Drosophila melanogaster: one gene and its partner. The protein of the gene in region 1 interacts with the protein of each later gene in a pairwise test. Each region holds a gene or a part of one and is shown on either strand. Other genes may lie near its edges.

What was found. Proteins that work in one complex are often made in the same cells at the same time.
Region 2: the proteins of CG8665 (region 1) and CG14414 interact in a two-hybrid assay, tested with the Drosophila melanogaster proteins (one large-scale study listed by BioGRID).

What each region holds. Positions count from the first base shown.
Region 1 is NT_033779.5:21,367,487-21,378,348, forward strand, and holds CG8665 (uncharacterized protein), read left to right. Parts: upstream 1-3,740; 5' UTR 3,741-3,864; coding exon 3,865-3,870; intron 3,871-6,599; coding exon 6,600-8,705; intron 8,706-9,121; coding exon 9,122-9,751; 3' UTR 9,752-10,509; downstream 10,510-10,862. Other genes in the region: Gr39b (gustatory receptor 39b), read right to left, coding at 422-478, 537-704, 1,336-2,220.
Region 2 is NC_004354.4:14,577,735-14,584,688, forward strand, and holds CG14414 (uncharacterized protein), read left to right. Parts: upstream 1-2,865; 5' UTR 2,866-2,931; coding exon 2,932-2,943; exon of another isoform or gene 2,944-3,005; coding exon 3,006-3,112; intron 3,113-3,160; coding exon 3,161-3,305; intron 3,306-3,847; coding exon 3,848-3,940; intron 3,941-4,014; coding exon 4,015-4,299; 3' UTR 4,300-4,440; downstream 4,441-6,954. Other genes in the region: mRpS25 (mitochondrial ribosomal protein S25), read right to left, coding at 4,450-4,621, 4,765-4,959, 5,023-5,159; nmdyn-D6, read left to right, coding at 6,019-6,218, 6,295-6,550.

The sequences.
Region 1 (10,862 bases):
GAAACCGGATCGCGGTTTAATGGTGTATCACAGAAACCGGTTTGTTTTGTTGACTGCTTGGTGGTTTCTAACGCAGGTCAATCGTTTGGGTTATCACTTGGCTGACATTGATAACAGTTTTCTGTGATTAGCAGTATTACCAAGCGAAAAATAAAATTTTTATTTATGATCAGCCCCAAAATTTTAGGATCGAAACTTATTCAGTCTATAGGTTTTGATATTTTTTCCTATCAGGATTCTTTTTTGGACCCCCTGCACTTTGTCGATGGTCATACTAGATCAACAATAAAATATATATGGCGGCGAGGAACTAAATCCCGTTTAGGAATAAAATACAGTGTGATAATTTTATGAAGTGATACATTTTGTTTCATATATTTTCGTAGTCCTTTTTAAATTAGAGAAAAGGGTTAAGCAATTACTAGACTGAACTAAATTGCATAAGCACGATTAAATAGGTAACTTTCGCAGCCAAAATCTGAAAATGTAAAAATATATTTAAATAGCGCTTAGTTTGGAAACGAAATCATACAAACCGACATTAGAAGCGAATTATCAGTGCTCATAAAGCCCTCAGCATTGATAGCCAATACATTTTGTTCCACTTGCAAAATAAACTCCATCAGCAGATCTTTATACGAAGTTTCTCTTCCAATCGAGGGATGGCAGGACAAGTTCCTTAAATAACTTCCAATCAAGACACTCTGAATGGGGTGGAAATAACTTTATTTCAACATGGAAGGCAGCTGTTTATAACATCACATTTTTATGATTACGCAATTTACAATATGCATGTGTGTATGTGAATGGATTTTATATTTTGATATTAAAAAAAGTTCAGTTGTATACCCTTGCATATGGTACATTGATTTCAGTCAGATTATTTTCAACCGTTCGACCGTTTCGACACATCCGTTCGATTCTATCAGTTTAACTGCAGGTATAAATCAGAAGTAGACGATTTTCCTCTTGGAAAATATTAGAAACAAAATTATAATTCGATATACACCAGTATTCGAAAATATATAATTTTGATAAACATCTCAGGAACGAATATACAATAGAATATACCTAGAGGAAGAGTCGAAAATAGTTCAGCTAATTAATGGAAAATAAAATCCTTCCTTAATTTGATGGTTTGATAGTTTTTAGACAAAAGATATTTTTGATTTGAATTTGATCAAAATCGGACGACAATATCATAAAGCTACCTTGGGAATATTTGATTTTGTTTTTGATCATAAATTGTTTCTTTTTTTTCATAAATTAAATTGTTGCAAGGGTATATAAGCTTCGGCTTGCCGAAGCTAGCTTCCTTTCTTGTTTTTTTATAACCTGTCGTTGGCAAAACTCTCCACAACGGCAAAACACTAAGATGTTGAAGAATGAGGGTACAAAAACGGAAAATGTTGCGTAAAGGTATTTGTATTCATAAACCTCTACCAGAACCTGCTGGGTCCAGTAAATATTGACGGTACTATCTGAAAACAGAACCACGTAGGTGCCAAGTATGGACCAGCCGAAAAGATCGTTGAAGTGGGTAAACAGATAATGCAGTTGCATATGGCTCTGCTTAAGTGCTAACAGAAACTCTAGGGAGCAAAGCCGATTGGCATTGCCGTCCAATGTGCAGTTGGCGCCCATCAGATGACACTCTAGTACGTTTTGAAGTCGTATGCCTAACAGACTCACGTGGTGACCCAGCAATTCTACGTTCAAAAGAACCAATACGAATTGCATCCTTATAATAAGGATTGACAGGAGGGAGGACCAAAAGTAGAGAAGGCTACCGCTTAGAGCAACATAGATGGATGGCAATACCGTCACCAAAAATCCAATACCGAGTGCTAGAATTTTAGCATACGACTGCCACTTTAACCGCCCTACATGTATTTTAAGTTCGCACTGCAATCGAAGTCCCAAGTACTTCATCTCTCTGCAGAACCTGAAGTAGTCATCGTAGTGAACCATCACCTGAAGTATAATCACAGTAACACACACAATCCTAGCTACGAAAACAATCACGTTAACCATAAGAGAAAGAAATAGTTCTGCACTCTGAGGAAAATAAATTGAAATCCCGAAATGAACTGCATTTAAAATTATTAGGATCGCTGAGTACACTTTCTGTACGAACTTAGATTGGGCACAACTCTCTGACCAAGGCACAAGCCCCAAAAGGGCAAAGTATTTGAGGTACGGATGAAAGGAATAGAGCATGCCGTACGGTTGAAAATATACTGGCTCTATGCTGTAAGTAAATGATATTGCCTGAATATTTAAATTCTACCACTTGGCGTTATGAGCTACTAATTTTCTAATTGATCGGATAACTTGCCTTCTCAGTCAATATTGTTCCGTTATTGCTAACCACCTAGGAATCCACCTTTTTGGATTACCTGCCTCATATATATATATGCCAATGCAAACAATCTTTTCAGGAGAAAGAGTAATTTAATAAATGTGTTGTTGAATTTGTAATGGAATTGATATACCTTCGTTGTACACTGGAACAATATTAATTCCAATAAAAATTTTGTCCAGCCTTCTGGTCGTAAACGGGAGAAAGCGGTCCGAGGGCCGCGACTGTCAGATACCCATTATGGAGATAATAGAAGTGCGAAGGTACGTTATAGATCTATGTAAGCATAAATTTCCTTAGTAAACTGAAATTTCAGCATGCAGTGATGTGATGGCACTTTCCAAAAAACTTGGAACAAACTTTTAACTATTATCGCCAATTTTCTAAAAACGAATTATTATTTAAATATTGATGACCCAAAAAAAAAAAAAAATCAGATAATGCTATAGTTCCCCGACTATCAGATACTCAGCTAGTGTGAATGCGAACGCGAAATTTCATTATTTTTTCCATATAAAATCGAAAATTTTTTCAAAAATTTGGGCGTTGCAGTTTTGGCGGTTTTAGGGCGTTAACACATTTATAAAAAGTGTGGGCTTGGCAGTTTTGTGCGGTTTGTGGGAGTGGCAACATGGGTCAGCAAACTTTGCGCTGCGTCTTTGTTTCTAGATCTGTACGCTGAATCTCAACCTTCTAGCTTAAATAGTTCCTGAGATCTTGACGTTCATACGGATAGACGGATGTGGCTGGAACTTAGTATAGTCGGAAACGCTTCCTTCAGCCTGTTACATACTTTTCAACGAATCTAGTATACCCTTTTACTCTACGAGTAACGGGTATAACAATTTAATCACCTACGAATACCTTGAGCACGACGTGGCCGCCAGAGAGACTTTAGTGTTGTTGGCGATTTTGTACGGTTTACGTTAGGATTCACTAAAAATTGTATGCGGATGAGTTAAATATATACCTTAAAGCGGCGAAAACGGTCCATTGTACCTGTTACATACTTTTTAACGAATCCACCATACTCCATTCTCAACGAGTAACAGGTATACATTTATTAGTACGCTCATCATATTCGCTTTCCGAAGTTATCGCCCGCTGTATTATCAGCTCGTTTCTATAATTTAATTTGTGAGCTATTGTCAATAGGCTGCATACGTTTTTGTATACCCTTGTAGAGAGTATATATTCTTGATTTGTATAAACAGCTGAGTCGATATAGCTGTCCGTCCGTTGTTATTGCAAGGGTATAACAGCTTCGGCTTGTCGAATTGAGCTTCCACTTTAGGGGTTTTTGTTTTTAATAGTTGATAACGATAATGAAGTGCTCAAGTGCTGTCAAGGTATAAATACGGCCCGAATTGTAAACACGAAGTCAGTTGATAGTTTGCAGGCTCTGAGAAAATACCCAAGTGAAAACGGAGTGTAGAGTACAATATTGAAAGCTACCTGATTAATATTGTTTTTTCTAAAGTGCTGAAGAGTATTCACCAGTAATGGCTGTTAGTATACATCTGATTTAAATAAGTCGCTTTAAGAATAAACTTTCGGACCACGAAATTTGATACATAATTGATATGCACATGTGTGTATGTAGAGGCATCGCGTTATTACCTACAGTACAATTAGTCTCCTGTGTAGTCGCCAAATAAAAAATGCCGACAAAATCATACCCAGTGCTTTTCATACAACAACAACAGAGAATGCTATAGTCGAGTTCTCCGACTATAATATACCCGTTACTCAGCTAGTGGAAGCAAGATCGGAAAATTTTATAATTTTTCTGGCATATCGATAGATATTGGAGAGTATAATGAAAAAATTAGGAATTTTTGGGCGTAAGAGTGAGCTTAGCTAAAGCTAATTTCTGTTGCAAATCGATCAAAATTCAAACGACCAATAAAAAAATAAAAAAATATAAGAAGGATGAGGACAGATCGACTCGGATATTGATCCTGATCAAGAATATATACCTCATATGGACGGAAACGATTCCTTCTACCTGTTATATACTTTACAACGAATCTATAAAAGACAAAAAACTGACAAAAATTTCGATTTCCAAGTCCCATCGCTTTTAAAAGATTTAGACGCTTGGCGATTTTTCAATAAGGTGTAATTCAACGCGTATTTACGACAAGAACTCTTAAATAGTTTTGTCTGTGTTTTTACCCCAGTCCCACAATATGTTTTTAAATTTTTGCACTTACATATAATTTTTTCAACTTCTTTTCAAAATCTCTTTCGATTGGTGTATTACTCGTTATCAGACTTTCTTCGTGCAAACTTACACTGCGCGTCATCAGATTAGCGCCCCCTGCATGGCTCCGTTTCTTCTTATGTTCTGTATTTTGCCATTGCACGAAAATCTATCAATGTTCTTGTTTTTTGTTCACTGATATTCCTTTCTCTTTGAGGATAAAAAAGGTCCTGAGAAGAACCTTTATCTTGTTAATTCTGATTTGTTTTACTTTCGGCGAAAAATTGAGCAAGTATTTTGAATCATTAGATTAGGTTGCTTTAATTTAGCGAAAAAATGGGAATTGTTATCCTCGCTGGAAAAATTCAAAATCATATTTTTCTATAAATGCGGGCTGTCTCATCGTGAACTTGCAGAAAAAACGGCAGAGATCGAAAACTATAGGACATTTTTTTAAAAACAAGAAAACTTGTGGAAAAAAACTATAAAGGTGGCAATAACCTTATCTTTAACACGGAAGATCGCAGGTTTATACGTCGAATACCCTCCAATTCCCACGATTGATTCAATGGGTGCTTTAGAAAGCTAAATATTTAAAACACGAAAAACTGAATAAAAAAATACCTCTTAATAAATTTTGAAAAAAAAGCACACCTGAGTTTTGCCCGAGCTCATATGATTTGGTCTAAGGAGTGGCATTATGTCGTATTTCCCGACGAAAATAAATTTAATGCGGAGGGACCAGACGGCTACAGTCATTACTATCATGACTTGCGTAAAGAGGAGCTCATTTTGGACCGCTTACACAGTCGGGTTGGAGGTGTCATACTATGGGTCGCTATATCCTATAATGTTCCCTGTGAATTGCAGTTTATAACACCAAAAATTAACGCGAAAGATTATAATAGATTATTAAAAATTGCATTTCCCTACTTTAAAAACGTTGTTGGAAATCTAGAATGGCATTTTCAGCACGACAATGCCCCAATCCACACTGCACGTTCGGTAAAAACATGGATTCAAAATGGAAATGTAAAGTGGCCACCATAATCCCCAGACCTTAATATAATAGAAAACGTGTTAGGATGGTTGAGTTTGATGCTCTTGAAAACAAAGGAAGATTAAGTCATTATTAATTTCCTTTAAAACTTTAATATTTAAATGTTAATCAACTAATTTTTTCGAAATGAATCGAAAAAACTTTAAACATTTCATTTATAAAATTGTTCAACTTTTGAGCGATAAATTTTCCAAAGCTATCGCAAATTTTTTGTGCGTTTCGTCCCTTCGTAGACTGCCGTCCGCAGCGATATAGTTTCGGAAATCAGCGTTCATACTTGACTTGGTCAGATCAAAGACTTAATATATACGCGTCCTTCTACCTGTCTTCCCAAAAACAATTTGGCCATTTGTCATAAAACGGCAAAAAACGTGAAACCCACAACTTAAAAGCAATTAATTATTTATTATTACTGTAAACAATCCAATATCGCAAAACCCAACCGTCCTGGAAATTGTAATACTTTAAATCGAATGCTAAATCAATCAATTGGAATCATCGGTATTCGAGCGATTAAGACATGTCATTTTTATTATTTTCCCTTCTTTATTGTTGTCTCAATAACGTCTTTCATTAGCCTATTTACATTGCACATATTCATATTCCATTGCTCAGCATTCTACTCTACTCTGAAATGTTAGCAAGCAATACATTTAAAAAGACTGATTTTGATAAGTCCTTTCTGAATGAGAGAGAATGCTATAGTCATGTTACCCGACTATCAGATAAACGAGAGTCAACTTTTAAAAGTTTGTTGAAATATTCATAAATAATAATAGGTAATAAATAAATAAAACAAACAAATGTTTATTTTTCTTCGTAATAGCATACCAACCCAAACAAATTAATAAGCTTTAACTATTTTATGAATTTTTATATTAAGGGGAAACTAATATTTGATGTAGCCAACCCAAACAAATGAAAAAAATCCTTCTAAAATTTGTTCCTTTTTATTTCAATGCGCTTTTCAGCTAAAAATGAGAATCGCAATTATAGGACAGAGCAATTTTGCTGCTGATGTTCTGGAGCTTCTGTTGGATCGCTCAAATATCCAAATTGTAGGAGTCTTCACTATTCCAGATAAAGGCAGTCGAGAGGATATTTTGGCTACTACTGCTACCATCCACAATATACCTGTTTTTAAGTTCGCATGCTGGCGTCGCAAGGGCGTGGCACTACCTGAGGTCTTGGAACAATACAAGTCCGTGGGGGCTACCCTGAATGTGTTGCCCTTCTGTTCTCAATTCATTCCCATGGAGGTGATTAACGGGGCGCTATTGGGCAGCATTTGTTACCACCCTTCTATCCTCCCACGTCACCGCGGAGCGAGTGCCATATCGTGGACACTGATCGAGGGGGACGAGGTGGCCGGCTTCAGCATCTTTTGGGCAGATGACGGTCTTGACACAGGACCCCTACTGCTAACCCGACAAACAAACGTGGAATCCACGGACACTCTGGACACCATATACAAGCGCTTTTTGTACCCCGAAGGTGTGAAGGCGATGGGCGTCGCCGTGGACATGGTGGCTAGTGGTACAGCTCCCAAGATAATTCAGCCGGAAGTGGGGGCAACCTACGACCCGGCTATGTTTAAAACAGAAAATCAGGTTATCAATCTTCAGGCTACAGCAGAAAAAATTTGGAACTTTGTTCGTGGTCTGGACTCAGTTCCTGGAGCCATAGCAACGGTTCTGCACGGGAATGGCACAGAGGAGCAAATTCGACTCTTTGGTGCTCATTTGTACTCTGCTGGCCCCGTGTCGAATGGAAAGGTTCTTCGTCTAAGAGGCTTAACAAAGACCGCCTGGATACACAGCGGTGGTCTTCTTATAGAGGGAACAGACGGTGCCTTTGTCAACATTCGCCGCATTAAGCGTGGCACAAAGGTAATCAGTGCCAGCGAGTGGTTTAAGCAAGCTGAGGACCAGTCTATCACTGACTTCAGCGAGGACGAATTGGTAAAGCGATCGTTGCTGGCTGGAATTTGGAAGGCAATACTTAAGGAAGATGTCGAGTCATCGACTGATTTCTTTGCATCCGGAGCTGGTTCAATGGACGTGGTGCGCTTAGTCGAGGAAGTTAAAGAAGCCTTTGACGTGCCCCTGCAGAACGAGCAAGTTTTCATGGCGCCTGTGTTTGAAGAGTTCTTTAGCCTGCTGGTTAGGTTCCTTCGACAGGGAAGTGCCGGTTTCGGTAACCAGCAGCTCGATTTTGAGGCATTCACGCTGAAAGCCAACAAAAGAGAGATTCGAGTGCCCACACAACTTTTTATCAACGGAGAGTTTGTTGACGCCGAGGCTCAACGCACTTTGGAAATTGTAAACCCTACTAATGAGGAAGTGCTTTGCAAAGTGGCATGCGCTTCGGCCACCGACGTGGACAAGGCAGTGCGAGCAGCGCATTCTGCCTTTTATGGATCTTGGAGGCAAATAACACCCAGACAACGAGGCCAGTTGATGCTGAACTTGGCTGATCTGATGGAACGAAATAAGGAGGAGCTGGCCACAATTGAGTCAGTCGATTCGGGAGCGGTTTACACGCTAGCCCTTAAAACCCATGTTGGAATGTCCATCGAAGCGTGGCGCTACTTTGCCGGATGGTGCGACAAGATCCAGGGCAACACAATCCCTGTTAACCCTGCGAGACCCAACAACGTACTGACCTTCACCCGTAAGGAGCCAATTGGTGTATGCGGTTTAATAACGCCTTGGAACTACCCCCTGATGATGCTTTCCTGGAAAATGGCCGCCTGCATTGCCGCCGGGAATACCTGTCTCATAAAGCCTGCTCAGACCTGTCCCCTGACCGCTCTAAAGTTTGCAGAGCTAACTGTCCGAGCCGGATTCCCCCCCGGCGTTATCAATGTCCTGCCTGGAAAAGGTTCAGATGCAGGCCAGGCAGTGGCAGACCATGAGCTGGTCCGCAAACTGGGGTTTACCGGGTCCACACCCATTGGCAAGCACATTATGAAGTCATGCGCAGACTCCAACCTTAAAAAGTGCTCCCTAGAGCTGGGCGGCAAGAGCCCGCTAATTATCTTTGCAGATTGTGATATGGACAAAGCCGTCAAACACGTGAGTGAAGATCTATAAATAATATAAATAAAGAGCATTTATGATTTAGCTTTAAATTAGATTGGGAACAATGTTGTTGATGCGGTCAACTCTGTTGGCTAAAGATATAAAATGTATTAGTACGATATCATACAGTTAATTCTATAGAGTTTATCTTTTGTTTCTGCTTCTTTGTTAATGAAAGTACTGTTAAAAATAACAAATTATAATTAAAAATGTTACTTTAAAGTTAAATACTTATACCTGTTACGAGTTAATTAAATGTATATTATGTATTTTCATTGAAAACCGTATACGGGACATTCCGTATGTCAAAATTATTTATAATGGGTTAATCGTATCTTGCTTAGCTTAATGTACCAAACAGTCTAACGATACAATGTATAAGTAACAGTAACTTCCTCTTTTTCATTTAGGGCATGTCCTCGGTGTTTTTTAATAAAGGAGAGAACTGCATCGCCGCTGGACGGCTTTTCGTGGAGGATCGGATACACGACGAATTTATCCGACGCGTCCTTAAGGATTTGCGCACCATGACAATCGGGGACCCACTTGACCGCTCGACGGCCCACGGGCCTCAGAACCACAAGGCGCACTTTGACAAACTGCTGGAGTTTTGTAGACGTGGGGTCGACGAGGGCGCAAAGCTGGTGTACGGAGGATGTCGAGTCCCAAACCTCAAGGGATATTTTTTCACTCCCACAGTGTTTACGAACGTTACGGACGATATGTTTATTGCCCAAGAGGAGTCCTTTGGACCGATCATGATAATATCCAAGTTCAATGGCAGCGACATAGATTCATTGATGCAGCGAGCTAATCGCACAGAGTATGGCCTGGCCAGTGGCGTTTTTACAAAGGATATTGGCAAAGCGCTTAACTTTGCGGATCGCATCGAGGCCGGCACTGTGTTCGTCAATGTATATAATAAGACTGATGTGGCTGCTCCATTTGGGGGCTTTAAGCAGAGCGGTTATGGCAAGGACTTGGGTCAGGAGGCGCTTAACGAGTATCTTAAGACCAAGTGTGTCACAGTTGAATATTAGAAGGCGGCAGTCCGCGTGAGCACTATGAGCACTCCAACTGCTATTGTAAGTCCAAAATGAGTGGAACACCGTTAAGAGACGGGAATTTTCAACATTAATTCTTTTCGGTTTGTCTTACTGTATTAAATCTTTGTTTCACGCCTTGGAACAACATATAATGTTAAACAGCTGAAAAATAAAAATGGATTGAAGTTTTTCTAAATAAACCTAGTTTAGCGGAAAATTTACAAATTTAGATAGTGGGAAGCAAATTTGAAATTCTTGTAGGAAATCTTTAGAAATGGGAAAGATAAACAATAAAATATGCCAAAAAAGGTTTGGTCACGTTAACGCTCACAAACCGAACAACCCTGCCACGCCCACAAATGTATGTTTTGTTTTTTAAGAAAGCGTTTCCGACCATATAAAGTATATATATTCTTCATAAGGATCAATAGTCGAGTCGATCTGACCGTGTCCGTCTAATCGTCTGTCTGTCCGCATGAACGTTGAGATATTAGGAACTTTTGAAATTTGTTTTGATATTTTTTCATATTTTTAATAGTCTTGTTAATTCGTATATTTCTTCACATTTTTATTAGTCTTGAATTTTTTTTTATAGATTTGACAAAAAACTTTTTGCCGCGTCCACCCTAACGCCCTAAAACCACCCAAAACTGCCACGCCCACATATTTGAAAAATTGTTAGATATTTTTTCATCATTTTATTAGTAGTGTAAACATTTATCGATTTGCAAAATAAATTTTTTGCCACGCCCAATTTTTAAATTTTTTGTTATTCTTATGTCTTTGGTTTACCCTTATTAAGATGGTTGGTTAAGTTAATTGTATAGAATTTAAAAATACCGCGGACATAGATTCAAAAAGAACTTTAAGTTTTCTCCATGTCAAGCGGAAAATAGAAAAATCAATACCTCGCATATTACCGGAAAAATCGAGAGCTTCTTCTTCAGTCCGTTCTCTTTCGCTTACTGCGCAAGACCACTGGATTCGGCGTGCTTTTAAATTCGTCACTAGAACTAAAAGCTTGTGGCCTTCGACTACGGCGTACGCCTCTGAGATCTTTCTACAGTTACAGTTGTTACAGAGTAACAGTGCGTCGATGTAATTA
Region 2 (6,954 bases), on another chromosome or scaffold:
AAGAATTTTTAATCGTATAATTGAAATGATATCATTTATGCCAGACAAACAAATTCGCCTGTCAGTTGCGGTTGAAGTGTACTTGGAATGTCCGGCTTTTCCAGCTTTTTCAGCTTTTTCAAATCTTCCTTTTGAAATCGTCCTTTTGGCTCCTTGCCGCTCAAGTACATTCTCAGCCTAGTTTATATGCCACAGAACACAGGACCCATGACAAAATCATTACAACCATTTCGTGTAGTTATCGTTACACATATGTATGTATGTATGTACAAAATACATACACTTGCCCCGCCCACTCGCCCCTTTTCATGATGTGATGTTGCTCTAGGAAATGGCAAAAGCTGTAAAAAATTTGCATTTTTATAACAACTTAAGTCACCAGACGACTTTACTTTTCCAAGCACTTGAACTGGTTTGCTTCCCATACAAAGTTTTGCATGCGTGTCACCCCCACTCAACTAACTCCTACTCCCCCGCCCCCCACTCGTGCCACGCCCCCCCCCCCCCCTCAGCCATATCTTGGCATAGCTAAACTATGAGCACGGCTAGAAATATAAATAAACACCATATTAGTTTTGGCACTTCAGACTTATAGAGTTTAATTACGAGCCTTAACTTTAAGTGAAATATGCATGTATGTATATATAATACAAATTGAAAGCACTCATAAAGTCATTCATTTCAAACGTTTTCTTACAGTGTAATCTAGTGCATTTATAAAAGCAGTTATATTTATGAACTAGAAAGAGAAAACGATGCTCCAAAAAAAAAAAAAGAAAGCATAACCAAAAAAATAGTGTCCATTTTGCAATTTGCCGCCGGCGCGGTGAACGCAAGGCAAAAATTGTTAAAAGACCAAAGGACGAGGGGGAAGTGGCTTCAAAGTGGGCGGAAAAGGGGCTTCAAATGGGCAGGGCGTGGCAGTGGATAAGTGGGGACATATGCAGGGAATAGCACCGAAAACAAAATAAAAAAAAAAAAAACAGCACCGAATTTCCTCAGCGGAAATTCATTTCGTTGAGAATTTTCCGGGCACGGAAATGATGAAGTCCATAATTGGAAGCACTAGCTTTATTCGCACAGAAACTAAAAGAAATTCTAAAAGAAATAAAAACAACTGCAAAGCAAATGGGTCATCTAGTTAATAAACTTTTGAGAATACCCAATATTTAAGTCGATGCTCTTCAAATGCAATTATTTTGGTTATTGGATTAGAAACATCGCTTGTGATAAAATCAGAAACTTAAAGCTGCCGCTGCAATTTGTATGACCTGCACCCACGAAATTGGCATTTTGGCGCCATCAAGTGATTTGCTGGCGAAATTACGTATGCAGAAAATGACCAACATGTTGCTCCCAGGACTGTGGCATAAAAAATTGGCATAGGAATGAGGCAGTTGCAAGGGGCAAGGGCAGGATGTCATATAGAAATGGCAGCATGCATACTAAAAATGCACTTCTGAGATGCACTGAAAGCAAACTTCTGAGACAAATATCTCAATCGAAAGTATATAAATCAGTATAAATCATTGAAAGGGGAATTAATGATTTTTTAGAAATAATCTTTAGAGTAAGAAAAGTGCTTGGGCTAGCATATTTTCTCGCAGTGTTCTGGCCTGGCTGCAAGGACCTCTGTCAGCGGCAACTTCTTACATATGCATGCCAGTGCGTCCTGGCTGGACAAACTCGATATGCATCGTGGAGCCCGGCGTCTCGGTGAATTATTTAAATAAATGGTGGAATGGTGGCGGGGCAGAGATCAAGCGACAGCTTTTTTATCATCGCCCCCTAAATCATGGCCACTGTGCCGTTGTCCTTCTGCAGGACCTTTTCCGCTTGTTAGTGGCGCTCGCTCGCACAACGATGGTAATTTGCAAAGCCAAAGGAATGCACGAGCATGGGCGACAACACTAAACTAAACTATATGCGAAATACCTAAACTTTGGAAACAAAACGTCAAAATAAATGAAGGAGCTTTTAATAAATTGCCAAAATATGCTTTGAAAAGGGAAGAGTTTCGTGAAAACGTGGGCTAAGCCACTAATTTAGTTGCATAGCATTTGTTATAAGCATTCAAACAAATAACTAACTAAAAGGTTTCTCTGCAAAAATGCAATATATACGATATATGGCTAAAAACGCGAAATTCATTTTTATTCCCTTTGCCATATTGAGACCAAATTCCTACACAATTCGTAGTCAACTTGCCATAAAAATAGCTTGCATATTTGCACTCACACATCCAGTCGGTGTCCAGAAATGAAGATGTCGGAAGTTGTCCTCCAAAAATGCGGGGAATGGGGGTTAAAAAGTTCTGGCCAAGAGTAGCTGGCCCGGGACTTATCGCATACAATGCGCATTAGCAGTGTCTACATGAGGCCCCATCAACTCATGCCCATCCTGTTCCTGTCCCCAGAACGGCTGTTGCATATTTCAAAGGACATGGCAGGGTCCGCTTTTTGTCATATCGTTTTGGAGCGCCTGAATCCGTTTGCCCTTTTCCTCGGCTGGAAAGTGTTTCTTCGGCTTTACTTATTTATATTTTAAGAGATGGTTTCCAAAAGTATCTATTATTGAAAAACAGATAACTAAAGCACAACTTTCTATAATTCAGCATATTATAGCAATGTGTTATATGTTAGTATATAAGTAGAAGCCATTATTTTATTAAAAAATAGAGATTTTTCTATGCACACATATTGATTAGATTTTTACTCGAGTTTCAATTACATTTTGAATTTGAACTCACCTCACTTGGTTTCGTTCTCGGCTACCGTGTGGTGAATAGCTGAGCGCGGTGTGTGCACTTGCTGGCCCATCGATAAGAAGCGGTTATTCCACCGATATTTATGTCTACTATTCCACACACTTTTTGCACATCCCTAAGCCCAATAGACTGCATTTTAATTTTCATTTATTTTCGCACACAAAATGGCTAGCACTGTCCGTAAATCCGCGTAGAAACGCTCGCCACTCGCATTTCAGTTAACAAAATGTCCTTGCAGGCCGGAACGAGTGGGTCGGGTGGCTTAAGCGGCGGCGGCGGCGGCGGTGGAAACCCCGAGGAGGCGCGTCGCATCTGGGTTGGGAATCTGGACTCACGGATCACCGAGTAAGTTGTGCCTGGCATATATGCAGTGCGATTCCATGGTGCTAATAGTTCAATTTGCATTGCCCCCTATCGGTTTCAACTCCTCAAACTGATGCAAAAATGCGGCGCCATCGAGAAGTTCGACATGCTGTTCCACAAGGGCGGTCCCATGGTGGGACAATCCAGGGGCTACGCCTTCGTCACCTTTGCGCAGGTGGGTGCAGTGCCTCATTGGCGGCAGGCGGTGCAGCGGCTTTAATCAAGAAAGGATCAAGGATTATTGTGCTTTTTAACTTGGCTATTTTGGTATTTAATCCTCAGTATTCTCAAGCTCATTTATGCAGTGCGGCGAACTCTGTATCTATACTCGCAGATGCACTAGCCTAAAAACGCAGCTATGTTATTTTTATATCTGTCACCCATACAGCAAAAGGGTACACGACTTGCAGAAAAGTATGTTCAAGAAGAAGGACTCTTTAAAATGCATATATACATCACTAACTATGTATATATATCATATAGATTCTATAGAATTTGTTATGTACAATGGTTTTCTACATCTTAGCTAGGAAAATACGCAAGCAACAACTTTAGAACATTGTCTAATAACCAGATATTAAGAATCAATTACATATGCTGAAAGTTATCTTTTAGGATTTGTCATTTTATAGTCAGCTTAAATATGTGGCTGCACCGCCTTGAATGATATTTATTACTTAGCTATTCCCACTCACCAATCCCAAAAATTCACTCCAGAACGAGGGAGCCACCAATGCGCTACTGAAACTGGACGGAACCAGCGTGGGAAATCGCTCGATAGCCGTGCGTTTGGCCAAGAACATTAAATATGTAAGCAAAGACCTTCGAGTCACCAAGCTAGCTATCCAAACTTCAAATCGATTCTGTTTCCTATATATATATAGGATGAAACGCAGAAGCCAAAGCCGCGCCTGGATATACCGGCCTTGGGCACAGGTAAACGCGAGGAGAAGGTCAGCAAAACGGAGGCCATTCGGGCCATTGAGGCCAAGCTGAAAATGTTGGAGCGCCAGACAGACGACAATCTCGAGCTGAATACAGCGGGCAGGGGCGAGGCCAACGTGCCCTTCATCCAGCGCTATCAGTTTAACAAGGATCGCGACGGTTCGCAGCGCTACGGAAAGTCATCGGCTCCATATCATCACCAGCAGCGTCCCAAGCGCCACTAGGCTCAATCGACCCACACTCGACTTTGCCACCGTCTCACGCATTAGTCTGTAAAAATCATTAGTACTTAGGGCGCTACCTCAGCAGACGAGCCTTGCAGGTGTAATTTACAATTAATTTATTAAAAAAAAAGGTACAATCAGAGCGAACGTCTATTTGGGTGCGAACAAGATCTTGCCGCGCATGTGATCGGGCAGCGGCACGGTTCCGGGACAGGGCACCTGGCCGGGGATCTCGCAGATGCAGTGCCTGCCGCATCCGTAGCCAAAGTTGGCCGGATTGTCCTTGCTCTCCTTTAGGCGCTCCTCTGCGTCCAGTTGCTCCCTGAAATTATGGAATAGGATGTGTATTAAGTTATAGCTTATGATGCTGAAAAGGTATCAGAACTGAGCTAGCTTCTTCTTAACTCCCAACTCATAGTTCTACAAAATGTGATACACGAATAGAATCTTGATGTGTGTTCTCACCGGGTTTTGCCCACCACCTTAACCAGGTGATCGATGATGTCGTTCCGATTCCGACTGTCCAAATCTATAAGCATATCGCGTCCATCGTCGAAGTAGCAGCGCACAAACGGCGAGGGCGTCATGTTCTTCAGCGTGAGCACCTGGACCTCGGGATTCTTGAACTGGATCTGCGGTATGTTCCAGAAAACAAAGTCCCTGTGCGCATTGCATTTATTAGCGTATATTTCAGTTATTAGACAATTCTATGCCATAACTTACCGAGCGCCCGCGTGATGAGCACCATATGTGTTGTAGTTCACGCTGAAAATGCGCACCTTGTCCTTCAGCACCAGCTTACCGGCATTCAGATACTTCAGGGTGCGGCGGATGGGCTCACGGCCCTTCATGAACGGCATTTTGCACTTTTAATTCAAATACGCCTAAGTAAAACAAAAGAAATCCAATAAAAGAGCGGCTGCTTGTGTAATGCGAACAGCTGATCGGTCGGCTAGTGGCTCCCACAAGGCGCAAGCGGAACTATCGATATAAGCGCGGTATCGATGCAGACCAGAAATGTTTCCACTTAAAAGAAAAAATACGAATATTTATATGTTTTTATATGGGCGTGGCAGTTTTGGGTGGTTTGTAGACGTAATAAAGAGACATCAGGAAGAAACCTGAGCTGCTTGCATAATCTTAACTTTCCAGCATTTGCTCTGACGAGCGTTAGAGTGGGTGTGGTAACATTTGGAAACAAACTTGCGTCTACGTCTCTAGAAGCTGCATGCTTCATCTCAATATTCTAGCTTTTATAGTTCCTGAGATCGAGGCGTTCATACGGACAAATGGACAGACGGACAGGGTCGGAACAACTCGGCTATTGATCCTGATCAAGAATATATATACTATACATACGGAAACACTTCCTTCTGCCACTTACATACTTTTCAACGAATTTAAAATACCCTTTACTCCACGCGTAACGGGTCTAAAAATGGGTAGAACTATTATTGACTAACATAATTAGAAAACGCGTTAAATCTTCAATCTTACATTTTTTAAATTAAAAAAAAATTTTTTTTTTTGAGCATGGTCTAAAAAAGATAAATGCTTGCTTATATTTCATTTCAGTGGAGTACGTCTATTAAATGAAACAACACTTTCGATTTCTCTGGTCATATATCGATAGATCCGTTAAGCCGAACCGGCTGGCTAATTTGTTTACCTCTTAAACTTAAACTTTAAAGCTTCTTATTCTACCACAATCAGCAGGACATGGAAATAACACTCGCTCTGATAAAGCCGCACGTGCTGCGGAATACCTATGCAATGCAGCAGATCCGAGCCCTGATCTCCCAGAACTTCACCATTCTTGACCAGAAGGAGGTTTGCATTACGAAAGAACTATCTGAGCGATTTTACGCGGAGCATAAGGGAAAATTCTTCTACCACCGACTAACCAGTTTTATGAACAGGTTCGTATAGTGCCTGGGCACATCCTTAAATCCTAAGCCACTTAGTTGGTATAACCATTTGGTATATCTTCTTCAGCGGACCCAGCTACGCCCTGATTCTCCAGTCGGAAACCTGCATCCAGAAGTGGCGCAGTCTTCTGGGTCCCACCAAGGTGTTCCGTGCCGTGTACAGTGATCCCAACTGCATCCGGGCATTGTACGGAATATCCGACACTCGCAACGCCTGCCATGGATCCGACAGCGAGGCATCCGCCCTCCGCGAGATCAGCATCCTGTTCCCGGAGTTTGACGCGGCTGTTGGGAGTCGCCAGGCGAAAAGGGAGGAGGCGTAGTCGAGGAGTTCTTGATCCTTAGATTGATCAAGATGTCTACTACCAAAGCAGTTCATGAAAAATGTTTACATGTTGTTCAAGTAGCTATTGGAATTGTCCTAATTTATGTTTCTTATTTTTAATGCCTGGCATTTTTAGATTAGTATTTAGGCTAGACTAGAATGTTGTCATATGGTATGCTTTAAAAGTAATTGAAGTTTATGATACTTTTTGTGACTAGTGTACTAATATGTTTATATATTTATATATATATATTAGCAAAACAAAAACTATACTTCTTGTTGATAACTAATAAGAATTAGATGATTAAGGAATTTGGCAATGTTCTTTCGAAAGAAAAATCGCTGTAATAAAAGAAGTCAATTGAAAAGTTAATTTTTTATGAAGTTACTAACAACACCCTG